4 linked regions of the Alligator mississippiensis genome follow. The protein of the gene in region 3 binds, or shares a complex with, the protein of the main gene of each other region. Links are inferred from orthologs where the notes say so. Each region holds a gene or a part of one and is shown on either strand. Other genes may lie near its edges.

What was found.
Region 1: POLE3 (region 3) and CHRAC1 share a complex: the UniProt entries of both Homo sapiens proteins name them as parts of the CHRAC ISWI chromatin remodeling complex. The link is inferred for Alligator mississippiensis from reciprocal best matches to the Homo sapiens genes POLE3 and CHRAC1.
Region 2: POLE3 (region 3) and POLE2 share a complex: the UniProt entries of both Homo sapiens proteins name them as parts of the DNA polymerase epsilon complex. The link is inferred for Alligator mississippiensis from reciprocal best matches to the Homo sapiens genes POLE3 and POLE2.
Region 4: POLE3 (region 3) and POLE4 share a complex: the UniProt entries of both Homo sapiens proteins name them as parts of the DNA polymerase epsilon complex. The link is inferred for Alligator mississippiensis from reciprocal best matches to the Homo sapiens genes POLE3 and POLE4.

The regions. Positions count from the first base shown.
Region 1 is NC_081826.1:7,832,625-7,840,272, forward strand, and holds CHRAC1 (chromatin accessibility complex protein 1), read right to left. Parts: upstream 3,261-7,648; 5' UTR 3,229-3,260; coding exon 3,094-3,228; intron 2,968-3,093; coding exon 2,841-2,967; intron 1,458-2,840; coding exon 1,327-1,457; 3' UTR 407-1,326; downstream 1-406. UniProt on the Homo sapiens protein: Forms a complex with DNA polymerase epsilon subunit POLE3 and binds naked DNA, which is then incorporated into chromatin, aided by the nucleosome remodeling activity of ISWI/SNF2H and ACF1.
Region 2 is NC_081825.1:304,176,984-304,184,978, forward strand, and holds the start of POLE2 (DNA polymerase epsilon subunit 2), read right to left. Parts: upstream 3,161-7,995; 5' UTR 3,148-3,160; coding exon 3,080-3,147; intron 3,072-3,079; exon of another isoform or gene 2,887-3,071; intron 2,113-2,886; exon of another isoform or gene 2,058-2,112; intron 1,267-2,057; coding exon 1,166-1,266; intron 1-1,165. Other genes in the region: UDP-N-acetylglucosamine transferase subunit ALG13 homolog, read left to right, coding at 3,273-3,836. UniProt on the Homo sapiens protein: Accessory component of the DNA polymerase epsilon complex. Participates in DNA repair and in chromosomal DNA replication.
Region 3 is NC_081835.1:48,960,192-48,968,226, forward strand, and holds the start of POLE3 (DNA polymerase epsilon subunit 3), read left to right. Parts: upstream 1-4,775; 5' UTR 4,776-4,857; intron 4,858-4,898; exon of another isoform or gene 4,899-5,079; intron 5,080-5,344; 5' UTR 5,345-5,360; coding exon 5,361-5,426; intron 5,427-6,228; coding exon 6,229-6,314; intron 6,315-7,530; coding exon 7,531-7,649; intron 7,650-8,035. Other genes in the region: C12H9orf43 (uncharacterized protein C9orf43 homolog), read right to left, coding at 4,147-4,414. UniProt on the Homo sapiens protein: Accessory component of the DNA polymerase epsilon complex. Participates in DNA repair and in chromosomal DNA replication.
Region 4 is NC_081839.1:9,695,855-9,703,755, reverse strand, and holds the start of POLE4 (DNA polymerase epsilon subunit 4), read right to left. Parts: upstream 3,052-7,901; coding exon 2,836-3,051; intron 1-2,835. UniProt on the Homo sapiens protein: Accessory component of the DNA polymerase epsilon complex. Participates in DNA repair and in chromosomal DNA replication.

The sequences.
Region 1 (7,648 bases), on a different chromosome or scaffold from region 3:
CGGGGACTTATACACCACATCGACCTATACACTGTGAAATATGGTAACTTAATTTACTACTTCTCCAGTAAGCGTCTTAGCCAGAAAGAGGGCAGATGAGACTGAAACATTTCTTTACAGGGGCATGGCCAGGGTTTATCCAGGCACGTTTCCCCTGAAACACACTGAAGCTGACCCACAACAAAGAATGTAAACTATTTGGAAGATCAGTGTGAATTCCTAGTGTCCCTTCTCCCCCCTCCCACTCAATCATTACTTTGTACTCATGGCTAGTCTTTTTTTTTTCTCCAACAGGATCCACATTCATTAAGTTTGCCCATCAGCAAGTTTGGGACAATTATGTTAATTGTGCACCAAAGATAAACTGGAAAGCCTACAGATGAGAAAGCTGTCAGGACCCTCTACATTAAATTCCACATTTTATAAAACATTTATTTAAAAAATTGTGTACAAAATTTTCTACACAGGGCTGTTTCCAATTTCATTGTAACAAAAATATTCCAGCTCTACCACTGACATGGTAAAAGGACTACTTATTTTCTTCCCATACAACCACCTCTAAACTTCACACAATATGCGTGTTGGTTAAATACCATAAACAGTATGCTGCAAAAGTAGAGACCTTGCTGAGGAAAACACAGGTTCTAGATGCACATATTTACACCACCTGCTAACACTTGTACTTCTTCATCACCACTACAGCCACAGACCTACACCACTAATTTGAACTAGTCTAGCCCTGTATCCAGTTTCCTTCTAGAGGAAGGAAGAGATTTGGACAGCACTGCAGAAGTCATGTTGGTTTTTAAGGGCTTGATCCATGGGTAGGTTCTAGACCCATATAGGAGAACTGGGATAGAGATCTGAACCAGTTATCTGCTTCTTGGCTGGCAGAAGGCAAATACTATTGATAGAGTATATACAGCCTCTTCAAGTTGATTACCAACAGCATCAGCTGTAAGAGGGGATCCATTTAACCACCTAGAGAGAACGCGAGAGACCTTTGGCCTGGATGATGAGGGCTGCCCACAAGAAATGTGGTAATGATTGTCTAAGTTACTTTAAAAAGAATGAGCTAGTTCTGTCTCCAGATCTGTAGGAACTCTTCCCCTCGTGTGTGTGTGTGTTTGTGTGTGTGTGTATCTGGGGGATAATTCTGTCCTTCAGGCTGTGTGTGTGTCATTGGATAAAGCTTCTTAAAACAAAAATAGAAAACAGGTGACTTCACATACAAATAAATCCAGCAGTTGGATTCTCAGTCACAAAAAAATAACATCTTTTATACAACAGGAAAAAGACCGAATATGAAGACAGTCTGATAAACCCTTAAGATTCGGCGTCTTCTTCACTCTCATCTTCCTCTTCTTCCTTCTCCTCCTCCTTCACCTCTCCATCTCTCTTCTCCTTTTCAAGCATTTTCAGGTATTTGCTAGCTAGGATCTTCTTTGGCAAGATATCTGAAAGGCAGAATTGCTGATTTTGTGCTCATTTAGAACAGTTATATTTAGGACAGTTATTACTGTGGCATTTAAAGTCACTAATTACTAGCTGCACAGTTCACAGAATGCAACTTTTTAGTCTAGGGAACAACAAGATGAGTTATTTCAATCTATAATAATCATACTTGGAAGAGGAACAATGGCTAACGTAATAGTAGAGAGTTTTCATCCAATTAAGGCTCGAACGCTAGAATTTGTCTTCTTTTGAGAGAGATTCTTAATTATAGAGGTTTAAATTCTGAAACCTGTTATGCTGTTTTTAGCCGGTTGCAGTTGGTGTGGACGCTGCCACTGCCACGGTCAGCAGTTACTTGCACCGTAGAACAACACTGGATATGAGGTTTACCTGCTCTAGGTATATCCCTTGCAAGCAATTCCTCTATGCTCCATTTAGGGATCTGTCCAGGACACCATTATAGATCAGGGGTGCCAAACATGCAGCCCGTGGAGCTATTTCATGTAGCCTTGCTGGTAGCCCGGCGGACTCCTGGAAGTTGGGGCGTATGGCCCGCCACACAATTTGGGGTCCGTGGACCCCAATGGACATGGCCATCAGCAGCAGCCCCCCAGCTCTGTGCTGCTGCCTGAATGCAGCCCATCACCACCACCACCCAGCCCTGGACTCACGTTGCTGCCTGGATGTGACCCTACCACACTGGCTGCTGGCCCCACAGATCTGGCCTGGGGGGAGACCCTGCAGTTCAGATCTGGCCCGGGGTAAGTTTGACACTGCTCTTACAGCTGATGACCTCGAGAGATGGGAAAGTGGACTGCTTGCTAAGGCAACACTGCTAAAAAGGTGCCTAGAATGAGACCACCATCCTAGCACGTTCTTATGAACAAGCAGGGCTAACCCCAAAGCGCCCAAGTCCGAGAGCAACACGTGAACGTTTGTGGTCCTGTTCCCACCTCAGACGCGTTTGTGCATCGAACGCTCATCCATTCATAGCTCTGAGCTGGTACGTTTCCTAAAAGCCTCCCCCACCGCCTGCCTTGCTCTTCTCTAAGCGGATTTACAGGTGTGTGGCCTGGTGGGTAAAGCAGACGATGCGAGCATCAGCGCTTCTGGGCTTTACACCCAGATCTTACACTGCCGTAACTGGGGCTGCTTCACCTCCCGTCGCTCGGCCTCCTCATTCGGACAGCCGTGACGCGACCGTTGTGACAAGGCATCAAGGCGCTCGACGGCGCCGACTGTCCCCAGACGCCGGCCCAGCGCGTCCCGCGACTTCGTACTGCGGCGCAGACGGCCCCCGTCGCGCGATGTGTGCCGACGCCACGGGGCAGCACCGTGCGCGAGACCGTGGCTTTGCCCCCCAGCCCGCCCGCGGCGACACGCACCTGCGAGGAACTGAAAGGTTTCGCACTCCTCGGCCGTGTGCGACAGGTCACTGTAGGTCAGGGCTCTCTTCTCCTTGCCTCGCCCGTGCTTGTACGAGTACGAGGCCAAGTACTGGACAAACAGCTCCTGCAAACCACCGGAAGAGAGACGTCAAGAGCCGCCTTCCCGCGCCGGCCCCGCTTCACGCCGCAGCGGACGCTTGCCTCCCCCCACACCCCCGCATGTCCCCCCCGGGCGGGCCGAGGGCGGTACCGTGGCGCGGGCGGTGAGGAAGAGCGCGTCCTGGTTGATGCTGGACACCTCGGGGGAGCTCTTCATGATGACGCGGATGCGGGACAGGGGCAGCGACACCAGCCGGTTCTCGCCGCCGCTCGGCCGCGCCGCCATCCTGCCCCGCGCCGCGGGGGCCGCCGGGAGCTGTAGTGCTGCGCCGTCGCGGGCGGGAGGGAGAACTACGAGTCCCAGCATGCACCGCTCGCCTCACCACCACCTCCTCCTCCTCCCCCCGCGCGGCGGGAGAAGGCCTACACGTCCCAAGATGCACCGGGGCGCTCAGGAACTCACCCCTCCCCCCCCCCCCCGGCCTCCGGCGCGCGGAGGGGTTTGAGCCCAGTCGGGGTCAGACATGCGCGTCCCGGATGAGCATCGAGAGCGGAGCAGGGCGGCATTGAGACACGTGTGTGCCCTGGGGCCATTCTTCGGTGTTCCCCCCCTCCCCTCGCAACACACCGTGTCTCACCTGCTACACAGTCCAATGAAACCTGGGTCCAAACCAGCTGTGGAGTTGTTACGTGTTTTCAAGCACTAACTTTATGTAGCTGCTCGGCTCGCTTTCCAGCTTGGTAGTCATTTTTGTCCTGTGATCGTGACTTCGTGTGTGTGGCTGGTCTGCATTGATCGCAGGTAGCCGCGCGATCCTTACTCGGCGCTCCTGGCCCGTGTGACTTTGCAGGGGCCTGTGCTTCAAGCTATTGCAAAAATGTCTTGCCTCATTACACAAAAGGCTTCACGGCTAAGAACTGTAAACTGCAAATTGTTTCTTCTCTCCCCCACCACTGCGGGGCCAGGAAGGGTGGGGGGCCTGTTAGGGGGAGAGCACAGTCTGAACAATGCTTGGTTCACGATAAGGCTGATTCCTGTGGGAACACAGATTAGTTACTGCCTGCTTTGCACGTAAACTTTGTAGAAAACTGTAGCAAATCACAGATTGCCACAATGGGATCTTGTTCATGAGAGGTATCAAAATGTATCTTCGGGCGTGGCTAGGGTTCGACTCGGATTTGGGCTTTGAGCTCCCTTGTTGATCTGTTTGCAAACAAATAAACTTGAGATGGATCCAGCCTGAGTGTGTATGACTCTCCCTTGAGGTATATTGGAAAAGCCTCCAGGGACACGAAACTAGCCATTTGTGCAACAAAGCTAAACTGTTTCTGGGCTTAGACGGCCTGTAGGAGGGATGTGGTCACGCACCCAGCACGAAGCGATGCAGGGGTCTCGGGTCTCCAACACGGTTCTGAGCCCGCTGAAATCAAGTGGGGTTTTGCCGTTTATTTTACTAAAGCCAGGATTTCATCCATAATCTCCAAGCACCGATAAACATGCATGGTGATGTGCTGCCAGAAAATTACGGTCCATGATCGTTGGTTGGAGCAGTCTGACACTGCATGATAAATTAATGATGATAAATACTTTGCATTTCTAGGGGTTTAGGTTGTAGCCGTGTTGGTCTAAGGACATAGGCAGACAAGGTTCCTTGGGTGAATCTGATATCTTTTATTAGACCAACCCAAATGGTTGGAGAATAGTTATTAAGCAAGCTTTCAGGTTCAAAAACCCTTCGTCAGACTAAGGAAGCTGCAGCAGTTGGTGTGTGCTCTTTCTGGATGGGATGAAAAGTGAAGAAGCCAGGGGCTGGGCTGGGCTGGGGAGTCAGTTGCCAGGCAGATTATAATGTATCAAAAATCCAGTGTCTGTTTAGTCCATGATCTCTAGCATCCAGCAGGTTGATGAAATGGAGCTCATAGGCTCATCTCTGGGAAGTGGTGTGTAAATTTCCCTTGAGGATCAGGACTGAGAGAGTGGCCCTCCTGTGAGAAATGTGCCCCCACCGGTAATTGGGTGTTTCTGTCTTTGATGGATTTCCGGTGTGCGTTCATTCTGGTGTGCAGTTGTTGTCTGGTCTCTCCTACATATCTTCCATCAGGGCATTTGGTACATTGGATGAGGTATACTACATTTCTGGAGGTGCAGCTGTAAGATCCTGGGATGCTGATGGCTCTGTTGTGGGGTGTAGTAATAGTGGGGGTGGTGGAGATGTGTTGGCAGGTTTTGCATTTCTTGTCCTGGCACGGTCTGGATCCTTTTGGTGTGTTCTGGGCTTGAGGAAGTTTGCTTCTGGTGATGAGGTTGGCGAGGTTTGGTGCTTGTTTGAAGGCTAGGATGGGTGGCTCTGGGAAGATCTTTTTAAGAATAGGGTCTCTTTCTAATATGGGTTGCAATTTTTTGAGGATTTTCCATACAGGTTCAAGGGATGGATGATATGTCATAACCAGCGGTGTGCAATTTGTGGGTGTTTTTCTTCTGTACTGCAGCAGTTCTTCACGTGGTATCCAGGTGGCTCTTTCAAACGTGCGGTTTACCTCTCTGGAGGAGTGTCCATTTCTAGAGCATTTCTAGAGCACCTTTATTCTGAGGCTGGGCGGACAGGTGGCTTCATCACCTGTGTGACATAGGTAAGAGATCCATAGTGATATCTTCATCCACCACATCTCATCTGCAGGATACAAACATGCTACACCTCAGTTTTAGGTAGGAATGGAAGTGTAAGATCATACTAAATAGAAAATGCAGGGGATCAGGTACAATGTAATTAACTGCCTTGAGCTACAATCAATAAACTAGGGCTAAACTCTGAGAATGAATGAATCCAAGCACCTACCTAATGTGAGTGAGCATCTCTGCCACAACTCTAGGCTGCAATGCCATGCCAGGTGACTATCTGAGTCATTAGTATAGCTCCAGCAACATTGTAGTCTCCTATACAATGGAATAGGAAGTCTCCTATACAATTAGTAACCACGCACAACCAGTCCCATGAGACTAACTTTTCTAGGGCAGAGGTTCCCCAGTCTTTTTTTTATTTTATACCCCTTTCCAGATTTACCAGCGGCCCACGTAACCTTACCACATACATTTTATATTTTAACCCCTTAAATGTCAATTATTAAAATAAAAATTAAATCTGCCATTATACAATTTCTCCTGAGTACTCCCCAGAGATGTCTTGCCAGAGTTACACGTACTACAGTTTAGGAACCTGTTTCATAGTTCCAGGTGGTGCCTGGGGGGAACAGAGGCTCACCTATTTTCCACTGGTCCCCCCTGGTGAGTTTATAGACAGACACCAGATCCCCTCTCAGTCTTCTCTTGTAGAGGCTGAATACATTCAGGCCCTTTAGTCTATCTTCATAGGTCAGGCCCTTTAGTCTATCTTCATAGGTCCTGGCCTGCTACCCCCTGACCATGTAAGTGGTCCTCCTCTGGACCCTCTCAATGCTGGCCACATCCCTCTTGAAGTGCGGTGCCCAGAACTGGACACAGTACTCTAACTGCGGCCTGACCAGCGCCGCATAGAGGGGAAGGATCACCTCCCTGGACCTGCTTGTGATGCACCTACTTATGTAATCATACTTGGAAGAGGAACAATGGTGCAGTTTTCATTGGTGCAGTTAGCTTTACTGACCACTTCCTCGCATTGGCGGCTCATGTCGATTCTGGAGTCAGCAATAACTCCAAGATCCCTTCCAGCCACTGTGTTGTTGAGAAGGGTGTTCCTCAGCCTATAGGTATGTTGCAGGTTCCTTCTCCCTAGATGCAGCACCTTGCGCTTGTCTGTGTTGAATTCCATTCTGTTCTCACCTGACCACCTTTGTAACCTGTCTAGATCTAGCTGGATTCTGTCCCTCCCCTCCAGCGTGCCCACTTCTCCCCACATCTTTGTGTCATCCGTGAATTTGGACAGCGTGCTTTCCACACCCACCTCCAAGTCGCTGATAAAGATGTTGAATAGATATCTGTTCTATAATAAGGACGTGGTGTTTGTTTTGTGTAAAACATTTGGTGTGAACAATCATTCACCATGATGCTATGTGCATTGTTTTTACTGTTTAACTCTCTGTATGGTTCCTTGAGCCTTACCTTGTCATGACATCTTGTGGCAGCAGTTGGCATTACTGTCACAGTAACCTAAAGACGAATGCAGTGTATTCTTAGCCTTGTCCAAGGCTATCCCAGCCATGCAGTTAGTCCAATAAAGGACAACGCTGAGCTACAACATCACTCCAACACTATCAGAGTAAAATAATGAATAGTGTAAATTAAGAAGAATTATCTTGGATATTTCACAGGGTTAACTGTACCACAAAGAGTCAAGGGTAAAAACAGAAGTTAAAGTTTGACAGCGAGCTCATATGTCTGTAGGATCCCGGAATAAAAGGCGTTGTCTAGGAGAAATCTGACATCTGTTCTTAGCCTAAGGACTAGTATGACAAGCCTTGAAGATGACAGGGGTGAGTTAGTTTCAGAGCTGTTAGTATTGCAGGACTGAGGATAGGTAAGGTACTTACTGTGCTGTTAGAGGGCCTGAAACTGAGCAGTTCCTCCTATTTTCAAGGCTTGTCATAGCAGCTCCCAAACAAAATTGGAAGCCCTGAAAAAGGAGAAGCTAATCAGTTCCAGGGCTGCTAATATCACAGCACCAACACACTGTACTTAATGAGGATTGCTTATCTTAAGGTCAGGTAAGCAC
Region 2 (7,995 bases), on a different chromosome or scaffold from region 3:
TCAGGCCGACCTGGACAGGTTGGAGCAATGGACAGAGAGAAATAGGATGCAGTTTAATAAAGAGAAATGTAAGGTACTCCACCTGGGAAGGAGGAATCCCAGCACACCTGTAGGTTAGGAAAGGTCCTTCTCAGCAGCTCAGAGGCAGAGAGGGAACTTGGAGTCATAATTGACTCCAAGATGAACATGAGCCGGCAGTGTAACAAGGCCAATCGCACCTTGTCGTGCATTAGCAGGTGCATGACTAATAGAACAAAGGAGGTGCTGCTCCCCCTCTATGTGGCATTGGTCAGGCCACAGTTGGAGTACTGTGTGCAGTTTTGGGCGCCGCACTTCAAGAGGGACGCGGGGAATCTGAAGAGGGTCCAGAGGAGGCCACTCGCATGATTAGTGGCCTTTGTGATAGACCCTACGGAGGGAGGTTGAGAGAGCTGAATCTCTTCAGCCTTCACAAGAGACGGCTTAGGGGAGATTTTGTGGCCGCCTATAAATTTATTAGGAGAGGTCAACGGGGAATAGGGGAAGCGCTGTTTACTAGGGCGCCCCAGGGAGTGACTAGGAATAATGGGTGTAAACTAGTTGAGAGTGGATTTAGGTTAGATATTAGGAAGAAATTTTTCACAGTAAGGGTGACCAGGATCTGGAATGGGCTTCCAAGAGAGGTGGTTGTTATCACTTAGCTTGGAGGTCTTCAAGAGGAGTCTACATAGTCACCTGGCTGGGGTCATCTGACCTCGGTCTTCTTTCCTGCCAGGGGCAGGGGGTCAGACATAATGACCCATTGTGGTCCCTTCCAACTCTACAAGCTATTAATCTATGAATTCAGCAAAACAGGATCTCAATAGATCTAAAATGACACCTTAGTGCACCAGGGACCAACATTTTTGGCAAGCACTGACCTTCTCCCCCATGCTCCCTTCCCCACCCTGCCGAGTACCACTGATCTCCTTCCCCTGCCCAATCTGCTGCTCTGTCCTATCTGCCACTGTACTCCCTGTCCCCCAAGGCCTCCATCTGCCACACTACCCACGTCATTTCTAGCACATGTACCACAAGCTGACCACCCCTGACTTACTGTGTAAGCTGCTAGGAGGCTTATTTCTGTAAAACTAGTATGACAAGGGTAGAATTAAATTAGAAGGCTTTGAAAAAAATGGTTACTTACAAGGCTGTTTTTCAACAGCTTCAATGATGTTCTCGATGGCATCTTCCAGCTCTAATTCACCGACAGACTGAAGAGATTCAGTGAGATACTTAATGGCATCACTGGTGTAAATAGAAAAGTTAGCCAAGAAAGGAAATGAATAGTCAGTAAACAAAATATATACTTTACAACACTACACTACTATAGTATATCATTTGATGTACATAAAATGTTATACAGCTTGTGGTTATTTGAAAGGAAAAGGGTGGAAATAACAAGCCTAGTCCTGCATCCTTATCAATCAAAGAGTCTCTGAAATTAAAATCCCTAAAAAAACCACCAAAATTAAATGTGAAACAGGCCCTAGCAACCTGATCTGTGGGAAGAGGCTCATACTATAATCCTGTCCTACTTCCCCCACCCCCCCCAAACCCCGTGTGGGCTTTTTAGAGAAGACTACTTCAAGTTTGATGTTTTATAAATAAAGAAACATCTGTGGAAGACACTTCCATTATTTAAATGTATAGGGTGCTAAGGCCGTGGTGTAAATAAAATCTTCAGAACATTATCCAAATAATTTTTCTTAGTGTCTCTTCAGTGCCAGAAGATGAAAGGCCAAAGAAACACAGAATTATAGAAAATGAGGGTTGAAGGGGCCTCAGGAGGTCACACCTAGTCCAACCCCTGCTCCAAGCAGGACCAGCCCCAACTACATCAACCCGGCCCAAGTTTTGTCAACCGGGACCTTGAAAACCTCCAAGGATGGAGACTGCACCACCTCTCTGGGTAACCTGTTCCAGTGCTTCACAGCAACAAGAGGAGGATCAGGGGAAGTGTGGGTCCTTTACTGAATTGGGGAGGCAACCTAGCGACAGATGTTGCGGAAAAGGCTGAAGTGCTCGATGCCTTTCACCTCAATCTTCACAGGCTACTGCACCAAGCAGCAGTTTGGGGAGGAGGTGAGCATCCTACAGTGGTGAAAGAACAGGGTAGGGACTATTTAGAAAAGTCACTGTCCTCAGTGGGGGCAGATGACAGAACAAGGAGCAATGGTCTCCAGATGCAGCAAGGGAAGTTTGGTTTGGATACGAGGAAAACCTCTCTTGTTAAAAAGGTCATAAAACACTAGAACAGATTACCTAGCACGGTGGTGGACTCTCCATCCTTGGAGGCTTTTAAGACCCAGCTCAAGAAAGCCCTGGCTGGGATGATCTACTTGGGGCTGGTCCTGCACGGAGGACGCAGTTGGACTAAATGACCTCTGGAGGTCCCTTCCAACCTGCATTTTCTACAATAACTTTCTCACCAGGAGGGTTTTCCTAACATCCAACCTCAACTTCCCTTGCTGCAGCCTCAGCCCATTGCTCCTTATCCTGCCATCTGCCCCCACTGAGACCAGCCCAGCTCCATCCTCGTTGCAGCCCCCCTGCAGGGAGGTGAAGGCTGCTGTTCAACCCCCCTCGGTCTTCTTCTCCAGACTCAATCAGCCCAGTTCCCTCGACTTCTCCTCTCCTCACCAGCGCTGTCCCCAGCCCCCCAGACCATTGCTGTTCCCTGCGCGGACTCTCCGACGCCTTTACACCCATTCTGGGGGGGGGGGGGAAGGGGCAAAACCGGACAAGGCATGAACAAGATGAGTAGAAAACCAGGAGAAGGAAGCCAAGGGAACGAAGAATACACGGGGAAAACATTCTCCGACTTGGAACAAATCTTAAAAGTCACGAGGGCTCCCTTCCTCACACCCAGTCCCGTTGGTCCCGTGGGAAAGGAGCTGCGAGCCAGCCCCGTGCGCACGCCGGCCCTCGCGGACAGCACGGGGACCGGACCGGACCGGGCAGCTCCCCACACCCGTGTCACGGCGGGGCCGAGAGCGGAGCCGCCTCCCTCGCTCGCTCGCTCGCTCCGGGCCCCGCGGGCAGGCGGGCGGGCACTCACGCGCGGAGCAGCAGCCCGTGCAGGCGGAAGGCGGCACCCAGTCTGCTCCGCAGCTTCTCGGCCGCCATCTTGGTCGCGGGCTCCGCCTCCTCCTCCTGCTCCGCGGGCCCGCGCTCCTCGTGGCCGCAGCCCCGCGCCCGCGCCCGCGCGCGGGGGCTGGTGCCTGGGCGCGAGGCCGGCTCTCCTACAAGCCATGGCGGTCTCCTCCGCTGCCCCAGGCGCGGGGGGCTGCCCACTGGAGGCCCGGCCCGCGCCCGGCGCCACCAAGTCGGCCTTCGTCACCGTGGGCACCACCTGCTTCGACGAGCTGATCGCGGCCGTGTCCGCCGCGCCGTGCCTGCGCGTGCTGCGGGGCCTGGGCTACGGCAGGCTGGTGCTGCAGATCGGCCGGGGCACGCGGGCCCCGCGGCCCGTGCGCGCCCCCGACTTCGCGCTCGAGGTGTTCCGCTTCAAGGACTCGCTGGCCGAAGACCTGCGCCAAGCCGACCTGGTCATCAGCCACGCGGGCGCGGGCAGCTGCTTGGAGACGCTGGGCGAGGGCAAGCCGCTGGTGGTGGTGATCAACGAAACCCTGATGGACAATCATCAGCTGGAGCTGGCCAGGCAGCTCCGCCGAGACGGCCACCTCGTCTACTGCACTTGCAGCACGCTCGCCGAGACCCTGCAGTCCGTGGACTTGTCCCTCCTGAAGCCCTTTCCTCCTGGGCGGCCGGAAAAATTTGCCGCCTTCTTGGATGATGTTCTTGGCCTTGAATAAGGCCCTCGGGGAAAATAAAAATGCCTGGCCTCGTGTGTCTGTCTGTCTGGGCGTGCTCTTTGCGTCTCAGCTGCAGTGGTCTTAGACCAGGGGTCGGCAAGAGAGCGCCAAGGACACCCGCAAGCTCCGGGGCCTGTGCCACGTTGGCGCGCTCCGCAGAGCTGTGAGGTGCTGATCCTTGTTGTGGCAGCACGGCCCCGGTGCCCTCCCTGCCGTCCACCCCAGGCACAAACACAAACTGCGTGCCACGCTGACACCCGTGCCGGGGGTTGCCTACCCGTCCTAGGCTCTGTCTCCGTTGCCATAAGAACGCAAGAAGTGCCATAGTGGGTAAGACCACCTAACCCAGGATCTTGTCTCCGAGTGGCAAGCGGAGATGCTTTGGACAGAGACCATATGAACAGGACTTTCCAGCATATAATCCGTACTTTATCATAACCTCTCTGGCATCAAGCATCCTTGGTTTAGGGATATCAAGCAACATCCCCGACTATTCTATTTCATAGCTATTAATGGGCCTTTTTTGAACCTGTTTATTATACTATACTGTCTTTTGCTATCAGGCTCTGGGATGACTTTCCTTTCCTTCTGCTTTGTGAAAACCCAGGGGAGTTGTTTTCTCTCCAGATCCCTATCTGGCACTGAACGTGTGGATCGTGAGGCAGTGTACCCTTGCCCATTGGTGAAACATAAGGGCACTTTTTTTACATGTACTCGGGGGGGGGGGGGCGTAGTTTAATTACAGCAGCTCTGTCTGGGACCCACTTTAATAAAGCACCACTGTATGTCGTGTATCAGCATCCCCACACTTAAACATGGCAGTGGGGGTGCTTGAACTAAAGCTTGTTCGAGACACAGGAGGCTGCTGGAGTGGCAATTGCCAAGCTCCAGCAGACTCGATTAATCAAGTCTGCTCCGAGGCACTGGGACGCCAGCACAGTGCAGCAGCCTCGCTGCTCGTGTATAGGCACCCTAAGACACTTTTTTCCAAACACAATTCTCAGGCACAATTGTACCTCAGTGTCTGTAGTCTGCCTCACAGAAATTATGACCCTATAACACCCATCATTAAGACTGAACAGTTGTGTTCAAAACCTATCCCCAGAGACAGGATTTCAGAGCTGTACAGTCACTTTTTGTCATAGAGCACTTTCCTCTCCACACCTAACGCTGTTCCACATATACTCTAAGCAGAGCTGCTTACCTGTCTGCCCAGCCCAGGCAAGGCTAACACCATGCCCAAAGTCTGTTCAGACCCTTCTTTCAGTCCCCTTCCCCGTTATCGCAGTCCTGGAATCCAAATAGGGGGCATTTTAGTTGCCTGGGTACACTCAGCAGGGGCTTCTTATTCAGGCTCTGTACCAGTTCATGATCAGAGTGCGTGTCTAACTTGTGCTTCATAAGAGTTTTTCTTGTTTGAGCACATCTAGGTCTGCCAGGCTCTCAAAAGTCTACTAGCAAATGCAAGCTTTCCATCAGTGCTGCTGCTAGTCTTTTTTCTGAGGCATTATAGATTGCAAGTCTAGCTATTCCACAGGCTTACTGGACTTTAGGACTGGTGCATCACTTATGATTTAGTTGTACTTTGAAATGCCTGTTCGTGGGGCTCTGACCATTCCTGTGCTGTATATTGTATATTGCCAACACTTCATCATGTTCCTTCAGTCTAATATTGTTCTTTAACTGTGTAGCTGGGATTAGATTACTCCTGGCTTCACAAACTACTTGAAATAACATTAGTTACTGGACCAATAGCATTCTTGCTATTCAGGCAGTTGAATGACTGCCAGCTTTCTTCTGCAGCAAATGGATATGGAGAGCCTTTGTTTCTGCTGAAGTTACAGCAGATATCCTCCTTTTCATTGGGAATCTCCACATCCTCAAACACTGCACATAGTTTTTTACTTCCTGTAGCAGCTGCTGCATGAGGACACGAGTGGCTGTTTATCATAGCTCTTTAACTGTTGCCCATTATCTTTTTGATTTCACATTGCTTTCCATATGCTTTCCGGCATGTGCTAGACCAGGGGTGGGCAATTATTTTGCCCCATGGGCCACATAAGGAGTTGCGGGTAGCAGCTTCAGCAGGGGCCGCTCACCTGGGGCCTCCACTGCGGTCTCTGGGCTTCCGCACCCAGCAGGGAGGAACGGCAGGGTAGCCCCCAGTGCAAGCTCTGGGCGGCTGCAGTCAGAAGGGTTCAGCAGCAGCAGGGGAGGTCCTGCTTTTTCCCTGCCCCCAGCAGCAGCTTCTGCCCAGCTGCAGCTGTCCATCATGACTGGGATGGGTGAATCCAGTGCGGGTGCTGCAAAGATCCTGACCCCGAACGTGGAGTGGGCTGGGGTCGGGGCCAGGGTTGTGCGCTCTGCCTGGGGCTCAGGCTCTGTCCGCACAAGTCCTGGCGCAGTCTCCATGGGGCTGGCAGCAGTGGTAGCAAAAAGGAGACTGCTGCTGGGGCTGCCAGGAAATGGAGTCCAGCCACCAACCTGCCCAAGCCCTGTTGCACGCCCAGGGGCAGTGAGATGCACCACAGGCCGGATGGTGCCAGAGTCAAAGTCCCACCATGGACCAGATCTGGCTCCTGGGTTGTATTTTGCCCAAGCTTGTGCTAGACCATGGTGCTACTGTTCCTAGTCAGTCTGTCTCTGTCCTGCTTACTGGATTCCTTTAACTGTAGCCTGTAGATGTGTTCTGCACTAGTGGCAGCAATAATTTATTTAGATTCTTTCTCTGAACACTTCAGCTACCCTCTTTTGTTTGGAGGCATAATTTCTGCACTGTCATGGCTACATTACTCTTAAACTACCTAGTTATTTGGAGACAAGGTTCCTTGTGTGAATCTGATATCTTTTATTAGACCAGCCCAAATGGTTGGAGAATAGTTATTAGGCAAGCTTTCGAGTTCAAAAACCCTTCGTCAGGCTAAGGAAGCTTCAGCAGTTGGTGTGTGCTCTTCCTGGATGGAATGAAAAGTTATTTGGAAGCATTTATCTCAGCAATTCTGTTCTTTACGCTATAATCATGTTGGCTGAGACGATTGTTTTAATTTCGAATCTTGAATGTCTTCAAAGTTACTTATGGATGCCAGTCTTCAGCTCTGTGATGTAAGTATCTCTTCTTTCTTATGTCTTATGGTTCCAAGTTAGAAACCAGTATCCTTCTACCTTTGTATTCTTTATCAGCTGTTCCAGTATTGTACCAGTATTCCTTACAACATCGTTTTTTCCTCCAGTGAAATAGTAAAAGCCTTGATCATAATTTTTTCATCATTATTCCCCATAGTCAGCTCTTTTGTAATTGCGACAAGTTTCTTTGGCTGGGAATCTGGTATTCCCAGTGGTGCGTGTGCATGCTGTATCTTTCTTCTTTTGGATTGTTTTATCAGCCTATTAATCATGCCCTCTTCCTTGCTGTAGGTTTCACTAGACAAGCCCCTGGCACATTCATAGGTGGTTGCAACACTGGGGGAGAAGGCACCCAGACACCTTGGTCAGCTTCAAAGCCATTTTGCCCAGCTGTTGGGGCCACCCTACTTCAGTAATGATATCCCTCCGCTCCAACAAATCCCCTGCCTGCTGAAAGGGGGCTTAAGAAACACAAGGTCTTGGGATAACACAATGTGGTGCGTCTGCACCAGGGGCGGGCAATTATTTTGGGCAGAGGGCCGCTTACTGAGTTTTGCCAAGCCATTGAGGGCCGCATGACAGGCAGCCCAGGGCAGATAAATATTAATTTTCTAAATTTTTTAGGGGCCCTACAGGCCAGATAGAATAGCCTGGCAGGCTGCACGTGGCCCGTGGGCCACATTTTGCCCACCTGTGGTCTACACATTCACTGCTGTGTCGTAGTTACAGGCAACTCCCGCATCGCACTCTTAAACGGTTCCTGAAAAACCAAGCCTGAAGCGACGAGCGGAGACAGCAACCACGATTGTTATTAACGACCCAAGATAGCGACCGCGAGCATTATAGCAAAACTCGCTGAGCGCCAAGCGAAATCAGGTATCCATTTAAAAAGAGCGTTATCGCAAAACAGCGCCAGGCAAAACAGCGTTAAGCGGGGGTCGCCTGTACTGCATAGTTGAGTACTTCCTCCACGAAGCACCGTGTGAACGCTTACTGTGTGGTAGCGCTGCCAGCACACGGTTTTGTGACGGTCGCC
Region 3 (8,035 bases):
TGCTGCCACCACATGCACCCCTGATGGGCGAGCCTGGAGCCAGCACAGGGCCCAGACTGGCAGCGGGGGCAGGTTACAAGCTGATGCTGAGCACAGGGGAGGAAAAGTGGCCCTTTGCCCGCCCTGTGGCCGGCGCCCTGTGCTGCAGCCACTCGCAGCCCGTGTGGGGCTGCCTGTGCCTGCTCAGCCCCGCGCAGGCTGCAAGCAACTGCAGCGGGGAGCACCAGCCATGGGGCAGGGGAATGGCCGCTTTTCCCCACGCTCAGCTTTTCCCCAGGCCACTTTTCCCTGGGTTCCTCCCCTGCCCTCCCCCCCTTACCTGAGTTTCCAGCTGGGGCCCGGGCCAGAACTCCTGCTGGGGCTTCTGGCTGGGGGCTGGGCCAGGCCGGGGGGGCCCTGCTGTTGCAGAAGCCTGCCGGGGCTTGCCCTGGATCCTACTGCCCCAGGCTCCTGTCATTTTTCACAGGAACCAAGGGCAGATAAATATTAATTTTCTAAAATTTTTAGGAGCCCTGTGGGCCAGGTAGAATGACCTTGCAGGCCACATCCGGCCTGTGGGCTGTATTTTGCCCACCCCTGCACTTCAGCCTCATCAGTGTGCTGTCAGTCCAATTTAAACAGTGACTAATGATCATATAATTAACTCTTCGTCTTTTCTAGTGCCTTTTACCAAAGGATGTGAAAGGAATTTTGAAAAAAGTAATTAACTAAGCCTCATAACCTTGCCACCTTTCAAACTGGATAAACAAGGGGCTATCCAGCACCTAAATTCAACCACCTCAGACGTGCACCATAGAAGCTGTTTACCAGTGCACAGTAATACTACAAAAGAGTTCCTTACAGAAAATAAAGAATGACCCAAATTTAACTACATGAGGAACTTTTAGGATGCTCAATGTAGTCTTGGTTAGAAGGTGGACATGACATCAGGCTTAATATTTCCTTCTTATAAAAAATGTCAGAGGATCTGTAATAAGACTAAGTGGTCAGGATACCAGTTTTACATCTCATCTGAAAGACACTACTACCGTGACTGAAAAATCTGAAGTGGGATACTGGCTTACTACTAAGAGGGGGAAATGCTAACATTTGGAGTGCTGTGTCCAGTTTTGGGCCCCCCACTACAGAAAGGATGTGGACAAATTGGAGAGTCCAGCAGAGGACAACGAAAATGGTTATGGGGCTGGGACACACGACTTATGAGGAAAAGCAGAGGGAACTAGGCTTATTTAGTCTGGCAATGAGACAACTGAGAGGGGATTTAATAGCAACCTTCAACTACCTGAAGGGTGGAGCAATAGTCTCAAGTTGCAGCAAGGGAAGTTTAGGTTAGATATTAGGAAGAACTTTCTCACTAGGAAGGTAGTAAAGCACTGGAACGGGTTACCCAGAGAAGTTGTAGAATCTCTATCCTTAGAGATGTTTAAGACCTGAGTAGACAAAGCCTTGGCTGGGATCATCTAGTTGGGAATGGTCCTCCTTTGAGCAGGCAGTTGAACTAGATGACCTCCTGAGGTCCCTTCCAACCCTAATTTTCTATGAATCTATGATAGGTCAGGACAATCGCACAGAATGATCTGAATCGTGTTAAAGTGGGGCCAGTTCAAACAAAATGAATTTTAATAAATCCAATTTCAAGGTCATAAATCTGGGAACAAATACAGAATCAGGGACTGCAGGTGCTCTTATGGTGCCTAGAAAGTAGGGACTCTGAAAAGGATTCAGGCATCATGGTAGACATGTATTTCAAAATAAGCTTCCAGGATAATCCTATGATAAAAAGAACAAGTGTGACCCTTGCACTGGGGTTCAAAGATAAGGATAGTAGGTAAAAGCAGAGATGTGATTTTACATATACATAGGCATCAGTGAGCTCAATGCCACAAAGCTGCATACTGAAAAAATTGAAATGATGCAAAAAGACCATAGAAATTATTTGAAAATCTATGACAATGACAGACTTGAAGAACTCCAGTCTGCCTGCTTACAAAAAAGAAGACTGAGAGATGGCTTGCTTATTGGGGATAAGTACCTTTATGGGGAAAAAATCCTGGGTCCTAAAGAACTCTTCAGTTTAGAAAATAACGGCATAGCAGAAGTCAATGGCTGGAAGTTCAAACCAAACAGACAGGGACTTACGCTACAGTTACTGCCATTTTTTAGATGTCTTGTACATATTGATCCCACTCCTGGCACAATGCATACCCTGAGCACAAAAGAGACTGGGATCTTCTAACCAACAGCTGCATGAAAGGTACGTGGACCATGGTGTAACAGAGCACCGAGGTGTGCCTATTTTTGAGAGGCACCTTGCAGGTGGCGAAGGGGGTTAATTAGGGACTCACCTGACTAGCAGCAGGTCGTGCTTGAGCTATATAAGCCCTGGGCCTGGCCGAGTCATGCAGTTTAGTTTTGAGAGTCATGAAATGAGGAGCTCTTAGCAACAGAGCTCCTAAATAGACTGAAAGGAAGCAACTCTGCAATGCTGGGAACAAGCGAAGGTACCCAAGGCAAAGAGAGGCTTGTTATACAGGCAGGTGGCCTTGGTTTTATGTTATAACCCAGAGAATGTTTGAGTGTCTGCAGATCCTTTTATTAAGTTGAATCAGTGGTTTAGCTTTGAGCCCTACAAGGGCAGGCTCAAGGCCTACTTAGAGTGCCAGTAGCCCAACAGTGGCTGAGAGTGGGGCCCAGCAGAAAGTGCAGGAGCTCAGAGGGTGGGGATCAGAAGATCCATGAACCCAAGGCCAGAGAGGGGCTGGGAGTGTTATCAGAGAATCCAGGAGCACAAAGCAGGGCTGAGAGCAAGACTGAAGAAGCTTTAAAGACACGGAGAGTGCCCGAGTGCGAGAACAGGAGACTCAGGAGCCAGGGACTGGCTGAAAGTCAGATCAGAGTGTCCGCAGGCCCAGAGAAGGGGTGAGAGTCAGACTAGAGGGCCCGTGAGCCTGAGAGGGGCTGTGAGCCGAACTAGCGGGTCCACAAGCCTGGGGGGAAGGGGAGGCTGAGCTTGGGACTAGGGTTCAAAAACCCAGAGAGAGGCTGCATGTGGGACCAGGGGTTCTGAGGGCTCAAGAGGGGACTCAGTGGGAGACCAAAGTCCAAGACCCCACAAGTGGCTGCATGTGGGACCTGAGGGTCCTGGAGCCCAGAGGTGGGCTGTGCAGGTAACCAGAAGGCCAAGAGTCCAAAGAGAGGGGCTGAGAGCACTGAAGAGCCCAGAGAGGAGCTAAGTATAATAAACAGCAGGTGACATCATTGAAAATAACACCCATAAGGCATGGAGTGTGGTGTAGGGAAGGAGGGAGCCTCGCAATGAGCCCTTAAGGCAGGGGTCGGCAAAATACAGTCCACAGGCCAGACGTGGCTCACCAGGCCGTTCTATCCAGCCTGCGGGGCCCCTAAAAAATGTAGAAAATTAATATTTATCTGCTCTTGGCTGCCTGCCATGCAGCCCTCAATGGCATGCCAAAACTCAGTAAGTGGCCCTCCGCCCAAAATAACTGCCTGCCCCTGCCTTAAGGCTACAAATGCCCTGCAGAGACAAGGGCAGGCTGAGAGGGGCTACTTAGCTTGAGGGCAGAGCTATGACTAGGGGGGTCCATAAGGGGCCCAGTGGTGGTTTGTATGATTCAGGCTCACTCCAAAGCCCACTGGCAGCCTCCCTTACATTATCTCTCAGATAAGAACAAGGTGTGGTGGGCAAGTGATCAAAGAGGGGCTACATTAGAGCCTGACCAGGCAGGGGCTGCATGGCCACGGGAGAGCGTCACAGCTACCCCTGTGGCTGGGACCTGCCATACACGGGATCCAGATGCATACACAATCATGAAGGATCACAATTACGGTAAGAAGGTAAGTAACTGTCCTTTCTTCTCCAAGTGCCTGTCCCCATGGGTCCCCTGGAGCTGTGTTATCCACACCACAGGGCTCCCCTGGGTCCAAAGATCTGGCGGCAGGGCCGCGGTGGCAGCCTTAGTTTGAGCACCACTGGGTTAGACAACACGATGGTCGTTTTCAGCTTTTAAACGTATGACGATGAACAGGGTTTAACCCGACCTGCTAACTCCAGGGAAACTTTATCAGGATTCACTAACGTGAGGAACGTGTTTGTCCTGCCAGTGGTGCCGCTGCCTCGGGCTTTACCTTCGCTTTCCACAGACGCTCTGCAGAGCGGGTCCAAGTCCCTGGCACGAATGCGAGGTCGTCCCTGCTCCACCCTGCGGAGGGTGTCCCAGCACTGCGGGTGCGGACAAGCAGCCATGTCGCAGATGGTCTCATCCCACTGGTCCACGTCCGCCGTTTTCATGGTCACTCGGGCAATGGGGGACAGCAGTGACCTGGCAGCACGTGGCCGTGGGGCTCCCTGCCCACAGGAGACAGTGCCCACAGGGCAGGGGGAGGAGGGCGTCATTCTGCAGCACCCAGGCCACGGACCTGCCAAGCTCCATCAGCCTCACAGGGAGGAACCCTCCACCCAGCCCCGCCCCGCCCACTGCCCTCAAGCCCCGCCCACCCCAGCCTCACAAAGTGGAATCCCCCACCCAGCCCCGCCCAGTGCCCTCAAGCCCCGCCCAGCCCACCCCAGTCTCACAAAGTGGACCCCCACCCCAGCCCCGCCCAGTGCCCTCAAGCCTCGCCCACCTCCGCCCTTCCCCGGCTAACCCCGCCCCGCCCCGCCCCCGGGCCCTCCTTGGCCGCGGGGCCCCCTTGCTCACCTCTCCGCGGGGCCGCCCTAGCGGGGGCCCAGGCCCGCCCGCGCGGGTTACCAGGCAACCACCCACGCGCGGGAGGAGGAGCGGTCGCGGTGCACGCTGGGAAAGGAGAGGCCGACTACGCCGGCGGGCGGGCGGCGCGGTGCGTGCTGGGAGGGGTCAGGGGTCAGGGCTGGCGCGCGGTTCGGTTGGCCGGGCCTCTGCGCGCGGTGAGCGGGTGTCGCCTTCTCTGGACTCGAGGCCCCCTCGGAAGACGCCTCCTCTTCCCCTCCCCTCGGTTTTCACCTTCCGGGAAACTAGAGCCGCCGTCTCGTTGCAACAGGCCGGAGGTGCGGGTGCCTGCCTGACCCTCAGTGTTTACCGTGTGAGTGGTGCGGGCGCGTCTGGCCGCGTGGCCCCCGCGGCACCCTTGTCAGGATCTCGAGGCAGCGCGGGGGTTGTGGTAGGAAACCCCTGCTCTAGACGCTTTGCAAAGTAGGACTTGCTAGATCTGCTGCATGGATGAAACAAGCGTAGACTAGGAGAGGCAAGGATGTCTTGGGGGGATACCTGTCATGGGACCGAGTGTTTTATAAGCAGAGCTGCATGGGAGAGAAAAGCATCTGGTGAATTCATAACGCTGGTTTTAGTTCCAGGTGTCCCAAGATGGCAGAACGACCAGAGGACTTGAACTTGCCCAACGCTGTCATCACTCGGATTATTAAAGAAGCAGTAAGTACCGTCAGTATCGAGACGCTTGATAAATGGATGCTGCACATTTGAGATTACCCCTCGACATCTGAAACGTGACAGCTGTTACATTGACTACTGTGGGAAGAAGAGGTTAAATCCTTGGCCTTTCTGATTGTATATTTGAGAAGTTAGAGTAACTAACTGCTTTTGGACTCAGCAGTTTGATGTGTCCAGAATAGACACCTGGTTTTTAGCCTTGCTGGTGACTTCTCCCCGTGTAGTCTCTACGTGGCTTGGCTGAACGGGTGGCTGTACAGCAGTGGGTCTCGATCCTCCGGTAAGTCTTGGAGTCGATCCGAGGCTGGGGCGGGGGCTGAGTGCCTGTCTGCATGCAGACAAGGTTCCTTGGGTGAATTTGATATTTTTTATTAGACCAACCCAAATGGTTGGAGAATAGTTATTAAGCAAGCTTTCGGGTTCAAAAACCCTTTGTCAGGCTAAGGACGCTGCAGCAGTTGCTGCGTGCTCTTCCTGCACGCATGCGCCCCAGCCCAGCGGGTCAGTTTGTGGGGTAGGGAAGGGGTGGGGGCTAGATCGAGGCCCCCACAGTGAGGGACAGTGCTGCAGGAGCAGGGGTAAGTTGAGTGGGGCCCCAGCTATGTGGGACTTACCTGCTGGGGAGGCGCACCCCCAAATAATTTTTTCTCCCTCTGCCTCAATCTCCCCCTGCTGTACCGGTTCTTTCAGGCAGAAATTATGTAAAGCTTGAATCGTTCCTTGCAGCTTCCTGACCTGTATGAACTGCATTGCCTCTGATAAAATGATGCTGCTTTCTTTTCAGCTTCCTGATGGAGTAAATATTTCCAAAGAAGCTCGAAGTGCAATATCTCGAGCTGCAAGTGTGTTTGTGCTGTATGCAACATCATGGTAAGCATCTCTTGGATCAAATCAACAACAACTAGTTGATCTGCAGATAGTCCACTTGTGGGGGCAGGATTTTCACTGCTTCTCATGAAATACCCATTGGTGATAAATATCTATGAGGGGTTGCTAAAGCTTCATGGAGTCTTAACCTGTAATGTAATCTTGTGATTCATGATAGTTTCTTGATTAAGCACCATGGTGCCAATGATGATTTGTCCCTCTGGGCAAAAATCGCTTTGCCTCTGTACCAGTGGACAATATTTGCTGCTGTAAAATGCTTTCTATGGTGTTTAATAATGAGGGCATGGACTATTAGTGGTGAATTACCATAAACTTGCCAGTGGTCATCTTTAACCATCAAACATAACAGTTGATTTACCTGATCATTTTAGTTTGCTTTACTAGCTATAACAGTGGTGATATTGGTCATAAAAGTATCCAGCCTTTTTTTTCTTTTTTTTAATCAAACATCCGTTTAATGAAGGGGTGCCTTTTAGTTTTGTTATGTGATTCCATCATAGTCCTTTGACTTGCTTGCTGAATGTTGTTCTAAACAGACTAGGAAATTACTGGGTGTGTCACTGAGAGTTTATTTGATTACTTAGGACCCCTCTCTATGTGCAGGTAAAGGTGCCATGTGATCTAAGTACACGTGCATGGCAGGAGGAATGTTTATGGAATTGTGCAATAGATCACACTGTGCCTTATTGTCTTCTCAGCAGCGGAGGCACCCAGCCACTAGGACCATGTGCAGCTGAGTCCCACAGCTGACCGTTTCACCTTCTTGTACATCTATACTCTTTGATTAAATCTAAAGTTGTTAACATTCAAATGTCTCTTAAAGGCAATTTTTTAAAAGTGCACCTGCCTTGAAACTTGCCATTTCAGTTTTACAGTTACACCAATAAATAATTTTCCCTGTTATACTTCTATGAAACTCCCACAACAACAGAAAAATGTAACTAAACAAAAACTGGCTACAAACATAAATGCAGAGTATAAACACAAAGGGGGGTTGGTTGGTTGTTTGTTTGTTTGTTTGTTTGGTTTTTAATCTGTTATAGTTAATTTCCTGGTCAATTATAAGCATTACTTATAACTGGTGACAAAAATCGTTACTCTCTGAAACGTTTCGAGTTGACCGTGATGCTTAAAACCACTGGTAAATGGAGTCAATTTCTGCTGTTTGATTTCTGTTATTCTGCTTGTCTTCAATTAGTGCAAATAACTTTGCAATGAAAGGAAAGAGAAAAACACTTAATGCTGGAGACGTTCTCTCAGCCATGGAGGAAATGGAGTTCCAGCGATTTGTAGCCCCTTTAAAAGAATCACTGGAAGGTAACATTCTCTAAATTCACATTGTGTAAGGACTAGCAGTATGAGCTCCTATTTATTTCGAAAGTTGGTTGTCCAATATTGTTCCCTGTGCCATGTCTCTCATCTCTGCCCCACAGCCTGTATTGAAGTTTGCATGGGGACAAATAACATGTGGTTCATTAGTACTGGTGTGGTGTAATTTTATAATTGTTGTTGGTTGGGGAGGCACTTTTGTGGTTCATGTAACCTTCCCCCATCAGTTTTGTCTAGGTAGAGTCTTTTGTGCTTCCTGCTACATGTAAGCTTCAGTATCTTCATAAACATTCTGCTGACCTGCATATCCTTTAGAGTTTGCTGGCACAGCTAAAATAAGAGGGTGGGTTACTGCAACTGGGAGCTTCATTGCT
Region 4 (7,901 bases), on a different chromosome or scaffold from region 3:
CTTTAATTCCAGGAAACAATGTAAAGCAATGCTTTAGCCCAGATCAGCAACCTACAGTCCACAAGGTATCAGTAGCACACAGCTTGGCCCAGTACATTGTCCCTCTCCACCTAGCACCGTGCAGCTGATCCCCCCCCGCAGCAACACCCCGTGACACACACGGCTGACTGTCATCGCTGAATTTGGGCTTATCACTACCTCTGGGGCAGGGATTGGAGGTCCATGGTGGAGGCAGCAGCAGGCAGGTGTCACTATAAAAGGGAGAGGTGGCCCAAGGCAGCAGGAAGAAGCAATAGTTCATGGCGACAGCCAGGTCACAACCAGTGGCCCATCACTCTAAAAGGCTACAGACCCCTGCCTTTGCTAAAGGCCATCCCATTTCTGGGCAGCGGGAGCCACAGGTCCAGTGGGCTACAGTCTCCCAGGCCACAGGCAGGATGGGCTGCATACTGTTGGGGTGGTCCTCCTGGAGCCTCTCACCACAAAGGCAGTCAGCAACCCCTACATGTATCACCGCATGCACTATGTGGACAGCCAAGCTCCTCTCCTGACCACATGCAGAGCCCAAATAGCCTAGCTCCTCTCTTGGGTGTGCACACAACCAGGCTTCCCTCTCCCTCGGGTGCATGCCGGACTCCTCCCCAGTCCTCCTCCCACTGTGCTGCCCCATGCCCAGGAGTGAGGAAAGGAAACAGAAGCCAGAAGAGAAAGGGGGATCCCACAGACCCTGGCCACCATAGCAGCAGGAGCACTAGCAGTAGTGGTGGCTGCATTGGAGCCCACAGGCTGCATGTTAGCCCCTTGCAGGCCGCATGCAGCCAGTCAGACAACCCTGCTTTAGCTCATAAAGAGGTGACCAATCTGTTCAAGGACAGCTCCACTCAAAGTTAATTATGACACGCGATGAGTTGACGTGGCTGTGCAATCCAATGTAAGGCATTTGTCAGAGACACCCAGCACTGCTCTGAGAGTTGATACTACTTTTAACATACAAATTGCAATGACTTGTAATTACCTTCTCTCACTACCAAGACAGCTTCTTAACTGTAGCAAGTGAATACATCTTATGCAGTGCTTGGAAGGCCACTAAAATCAGGCTGCGACTTATCATTGAGGGGAACAAGGTCTATGGTTGAAGACCTCATCCAGTGTCCACATACCGGCTTCTAAAAGAGCAAGCCTTGGAACTAAGAGCAAGAGCAGCCCACCTGTTCTCTTTCAGAGTACCAGGAAACAGTTACCAGAAAGACCATCTAGGTTCCAGGATACTTTCAGCTAATTGATCCTAACACCTGGAACTGCAACTAGAAGAAATCAGCTAGGAATCAGTGTAGAGCACAGGTAAAGAAAATACTCATATAAACTTTATGCAACTAAAAAAAGGGGTTCCCACATTCTGCATTAACTGAAGGTCCCAAATGCTCTTCCAAGACAGCCCCAAGTAGAGGGCACTATATTCATTAACAGGTGAGAAATGCTTTTTGCAATAACGTCTAAGGCAGAAAAGGAGGCGACAGCCTCCTGGACAGCACCTATAACCATCACGAGTACGTGAATCCCAAGAACCTGACGCTGGGGACATCTCTGACGAAAAGCAGACCTGGGAGCAAAGCCACTCTGCAGACTTCTGTCGGCCAGCCAGCACTACCGAGGTTGACTTGAACCTAAACTGGCGCAGAACCATCTATGTCCCAACCCTGCCCAAGGAAAGGCACGAGGAGATCGCAGAGCAAGTTACAGAGTATTTTCAGTGAGGACAACAAGGTGGAGTACTGCAGGCTCCCAGACCTGACAGCCCAGCAGGAGATGAACTATACCTCTTCAAAACCTCAAAAGAGCCAAAGAAGAGCCAAAAAAAAGAGCAAGAGAAGCCTCAGAAAAAGAAGCCAACTTGTTCAGCAGCCACAGGAGCAATCGGTGTTCAAAGAGCTGCAACAACACAGACCCAAAGCGGCAAACACACTCCAGCTCAACAGGAAATATCCCTCCATTAGTGAACGCCTGCACAGTCTGACAGGGGAGCCTCCTGCCACCGATCGTGCGGGACAGCACAGCGAGACAGGCGTACCCCACAAGCAAACTCCGCGCACTTCCTACAAAGAGCTACAGGTGAGAAGAGGCGGCTCAGGAGTCAGGGCTGCACTATCCCCATCCTCCCCTGGTGAAGTGCCCAGGGCATCCCGTCTCCTCCGGCCTCCTGTGGGCGCAGCAGTCTGCGGGGGAGGCCTGCGTGGGGGAGGCCTGCGCGGTGCAGCCCTGCGCTCTTTCGGCAGCTACGTGACAGCACTCGCCGAGCCCAGCTGGCAGCCGCGCACCTCTGGGTCCGCCTGGTGCGCTCCACGTACCACCTCGTTAGTCTAGTCACGGCACAAAGGTACCAACGTCAGGCCAGGCCTCTCTTGGACGGCTGTCGCCACCGTGTCAACCAGCACGGCCGGCTGCGCCGTCCAGCTCTCGGCGACTAGCCCCGCGCCCGCCTGGGTGAGGAGGGTGCGCGCGCCCGCCCGCCTGGCAGCACTCGAAGCAAGAGGCAGCGGGCGCCCATCCGTACCCGGAGGAGACGGGCGCTGCCACCGGCCACGAGAAGCGGCTCACCTAAGCTCGCAGCCTGCCGGCCCCAGCCCCGGCCCGGGCTAGCGGCGCGGCGCGGCGCGGGGCCGTGACAGCCGCTTTAGCGGGCGCAGCACCACGCGCGCTGCGGGCTGCCGGGGGAGGCGGCAACACCCTCCCCCTGGGGCGGGGACAGCCGGAGCGGGGCCCGCACGTGCGCGGCGCAGCGCAGCGGGCAGGGAGGAAACGCGGCGCTTCCCCCGGCCCCGGCCCCGGCCCCCTCACCGCGGCGCGGGCCAGGACGAAGACAGCCTCCTGGCTGGCCAGCGTCACGTCGGGGTCGGCCTTCACCAGCGCCTTCACCCGGGCCAGCGGCAGCCGCGCCAGGCGCAGCGGGGCCGCACACGGCGCTCCCGGGCCCGGCTCCTCCTCCCCGGCCGCCGCCGCCGCCGCCGCCCCTACCACCGGGCCCGGCTCCGCGCCCGCCGCCGCCGCCGCCATCCCGCCCCGCGCCTGCGCACCGCGCCCCGCCCCGCCCCGCCCCTTCCTCCGCTGCCCGGCCCGCTCCCGCTCCCGCCCTGTCCGCGCTGGCGGGCGCCCCTCGGCCGCCCCGGCCCCGGCCCCGCGCCAGGCGGGCTGAGCTCGTGCCATCTTGCACCGACAGACCGGTGCAGCGACCCCCACCCAGCCAGGCGCCGGAGCGGCTCGGAAATCTCCGTGTTTGGGGGGCTCGCCCCGCTGCACAAGAAACCCCCGAGATCGCACGAAAAACACAGCCGGCTCAAGCTGCTGCCCAGGACGGGCTGACGACATTCACGGTCGTGCTGTGTCCTTGCACCGTGCCATTCAAGGCAGGCTCCTGCTATGCTCTGCGTGCCCAAACAGTAGTTATCCCGGTACACAGCCACCTGTTTCCCCTGCGCAGTGTGGCGTGGATGCTGTCGCGCGTGCGCCGTCGGCAGGGAGGCAGCCCCACACCCTCGCTCACGCCTCAGCAGAAACCCCCAAACTCTGGTCCAGCAGAAACCAGGGCCGGCGCACGGTGCAGCCCAGAAGCCAAGGGCTCAAGGCACTCGCCCAGGAATGGGATGGAGGTCCTAGACCCCTCTCACCCCACGGAGGTTGAAGCTGCATCTTGCTGACTGCCCAGAAATGGGTCTAACCACCAGGTCGCAGATTAGGGCAGGGGCGGGCAATTATTTGGGCCCACGGGCCACACAGGCGGTTCTGGGGAGCTGCCGCCAGCCAGTAAGCACCCCCACCCCAGCAGCATGGAGCCCACGTGCCCTGTGGCTCCTCCCTGCCACCGCCAACAGCACACGGCCCTAGCCCTGACCCCAGCCCCCCCATGCCCTCTCCGGGCTCACCCCAGCCGGAGCAGGCACGCACACCCCTGACCCCGGCCTGCCCGCACTGAGCAGTGGCAGCAGCTGGGCAGAACGGTGTGGAGGAAAGCGGCCACCTCCCTTTCACTGCTGCCAGGCCCTTCTCGCTGCAGCCGCCCGGAGTCTGTACCTAGGCTGCCCTGTGGCTCCTCTCTGCTGCCACCACTGCCTCCTCCAGGCCACCCAGCGGGGCAGCGGTGGCAGGGCAGAGGAGCCGCGAGGCAGCCCAGGTGCAGGCTCAGGGTGGCTGTAGTAAGAAGGGCCTGGCAGTGGTGAGAGGCCACTTTTTGCCCACACCCAGCAGTAGCTTCTGCCCAGCCACCACTGCTGCCACCGCTGCTCAGTGTGGATGGGCAAGTCTGGAGGAGGCGTGGGGTGGGCTGCGGTCAGGGCTATGCACATGGGTCCCTGCCAGTACCGTGGGGCTGAGGCCAGCAGCAGCTGCTTGGGCTGCCTAGAAGCAGGGTGTGTCACAGGTTGGACAGGACCTGAGCCAGGCAGGACTGAAGGACCTGCTGCAAGCCAGACAAAGTCTCTCCATGGGTCAGATCTGGCTTACGGGCCATATTTTGCCTACCCGTGGATTAGAAGCTAGCTAGCCTACCTCTTGAAGCTGAACCACTGCATGTTGAATCTAATATTTACTAGATAGAAAGCAGAAGAAACATTTACACACCATTGGGAACCAGGCTCCAGGCTGGAATCCAGGGTCTATTCCCTTCCAGAGTAGCAGCTCTCTCGTTAAACCAGGCACTTTCTAGCATGCTTGCTTTTTCCTGGCCCTATGCAGTTTCCTCTCCCAGCTGCCCAGGGGGCCAGGTAGAGAGGGCATGGAGTAATGCCTAGCCTGCAGCCTGATGGTTGGAAGACTAAACCTGGGAAGGTCCAGGTTCAAACCCGTCTGTATGAGAGGAACCTGGGTTTTCTATTTCCTGGGTAAGAGCCCTGCCAACTCAGGTCGTGGGGCTAAAGTTCAGATGGGCCTTCTGCCCCATCTAACACCTCCTAGTAATGGGTTTTTGTGACTTGAATTTGCCTACCATAGTGCATATGGGGCTGAGTACCTGCTTGGCCAGCTTGCAAGCTACCATGCATCCTCAGTAGTTACGTGGATGCTTACACATCCAAGCTGCATGTGGCATAGGATCTCAAATTGTGTAAAAGTGTAAAAAATGGCAGTTCCTGGGCTGGTAACTCCTATTTGAGCAGTTAAAGTGAAATAGGATTTTGTCCTTTGTGTTTTGTTTGTGTCCTTGCTGCTTGCTACTTTCTGGGATTTTGATATACATATTCAGATTAAATTCTGGTCTGGTGGAAAGGTGTTTAATCTCAGATAGCTGTGAGCAAAACCCAGGGTGCTTGAAAACTTATCTACAAACTTTTATTTGCTGATGCCTGTGCCTTGGTTGCTCATTCTTAGGAAGATATCCAAGTCATCAGCACAGGGCAGAGAGGTCCATCGAACTGCCAGAGACAGACTTGCCACTGGAAGGCAGAAATGATTGACCACCTCTTCTGGGACTGCCCATATGCCAGAGAGGTATGGAAGAAAATCTGTGCACTCCTCCTGGTGGTGACAGGTTTCAGAGACCTGACCAGGGATGCGGTTCTCTACGGGCACCTGACCAGACAGCAAGGGACCCCGGCAGCTCACTTTGACCAGTTTATATCCTGCTTCAGGTATGCACTATGCAAAGCCAGGAACCTGCTCATCAACAAACACTCAGACCCCACAGTCATAGACTGTATTCAAATCGGACTAAGCAAAATGTACTGGTACTAACGGAAAACAGAAGATGATGACGGGAAAGAAGTGGTAGACCTCATCTGGTGGAAAGGGGTCTGGCTCAGACTTTTTTCAGGAGCAGGCATGGAGATGGGTGCATGGATAAAGGGTGTGAATTGTGTAACAGGTTTTTAGCATGCTTTGATCTGCCAAGTGAACCACAGGGGCCACTTGGCAGTGCTGGAGATAGAGTTATATATTATTTATTTATATATAGATATAGATATATTTTTGTGCAAATATAAAGAATCCCAAGTAGCTGCATACTAGGCCTGTGCGATCCGATCTGGCTTCGGATACAGCTGCTTCAGATGGCAGTGATGTGATCCGGAGCTCCGGACCGGGTTTCCACCTGGATCCGGCCGAAGTGGTTCCGAAGCTGCCTTGGAGATCCGGCTATAGGGTATAACGGAGGAATCAATGAAATATCTATAACTTTGGTGTTTTTTGTCCGATTCGGATGAAACTTGCAAGGATGGTAGCCTCTGCTGAGAGCACAAAACCCGCCAAGTTCCAAGAAGATTGGTGCAAGGGCTTGGGGGTAACTGTACCCCAAATTCTTGAAAGTCAAACTCATGCCATGGCTGTGTTACAACACAGGGGGGTCAAAACTGCAGGGCTGGTAGCTCTTACTGAGGCCACAAAGCCTGCCAAGTTTCAAGAAGATCGGTGCAGGGGTTTGGGGGGGAACTGCACCTCAAGCTGTGGACAAGCAGAACTTGTGCCATGGGTGACTCTGTGTGTTAAGACACAGCAGGGTGACAGCTGCAGGGATGGTGGCCCCTGCTGTGACGCCTGCCAGCTGTGGAGGAGATCGGTGCAGGGGGTTCTGGGGCTCTGCACCCCTAGCTGCTGACAGGCAAAACTCGTGCCATGGGTGCTTGTGGGACTGATTATGTCGGTCTTGGGGCAGTTGATTGTCTGTATTGATTCTTTCCTCTCCTTAGTCTGGTTTTGTAGGTGCTAATTGATGGCAATTAACTGGCTACATTAGCCAAGTCCTGTGTATTGAGCTGGTCCCTGAGTGAATTATGACTGATTGGTAACTGGTAGCACAGTAGCTTAGCAGCCAGGCCTGCAGTAGCGTCTCCCACGCCCCAAGAATTTGGGGTGTAGTTCTCCCCAAACCCCTAGACTGATCTTCTTGAAACTTGGCAGGCTTTGTGGCCTCAGCATAGGCTACCATCCCTGCAGTTTTCACCCCGCTATGTTGTAACGTCTAGAAGTGACACAAGTTTTGTTTTCAAGAATTTGGGGTGCAGTTCCCCCCAAACCCCTAAACCTATCTTCTTGAAACTTAGCAGTCCTTATACCCTCTATAGAGTCTACCACCTCTGAAATTTTTATCCAAATTGGGCAAAAAACAAGAAAATTATAGATATTTTATTGTTTCCCCATTATACCCTATGGCCGGATCTCCGAGGTGGCCCTGAAGCTCTTCAGGAGCTCTGACCCGCTTCAGGAAGCCTAACAAGGCCAGCGCTTTGATCCGGGCATGCTACTTCAGACCCCAAAGCATCCAAAGCTTCTCCAGATCCGAAGCCCTGTCTGAAGCCTCGCACAGCCCTACTGCATACTCACATTTTGGACAGCCTACTAGTCTAAAAGAAGTCAGAAGATCTATATACCAGCCTGCTCCTGCTAAGCCCAACATACTCTCTAATAGGGATGATTAATGGTATGTGCTTCAAGCTTTGGATGAATTCACCAACTTGGGTAATGCACTTTAAACATGTACTTCACATCCATTATGAAGTTTCCAAAAGAACTGATAATGCTAGCACAATCTTTGGAAGACTATCCGAATTTTGTTGGAACAGGTGATTGCATATAAAGTTAAGCATCTACAAGACAGTATTCCTAACAGTCATGAACTACCTTGTAATAGGGGGCCTTCTCGGGGACAATTAGTCTTTGGCCTGCCCCACTTTTTCTGGGCCAACCGCCCACCTTCTTGTCTGCCATGCCTTGCTATTATCTAATTAATGATATTAATTTGGTGGGAGGCTGCCCATTTCTTGCCACAATGCCAGGGGGCACTATCAGCAGCTCTGTTCCTCCCCCTACACTGCAGCCCAAGCCTCACAGATGGCATCCACAGATGTTACCATCACCAGCCCCACACTGGGCACCAGAATCCTCCAGTCAGGACCCCTCTAAGATCCCTCCATTCAGGCAGC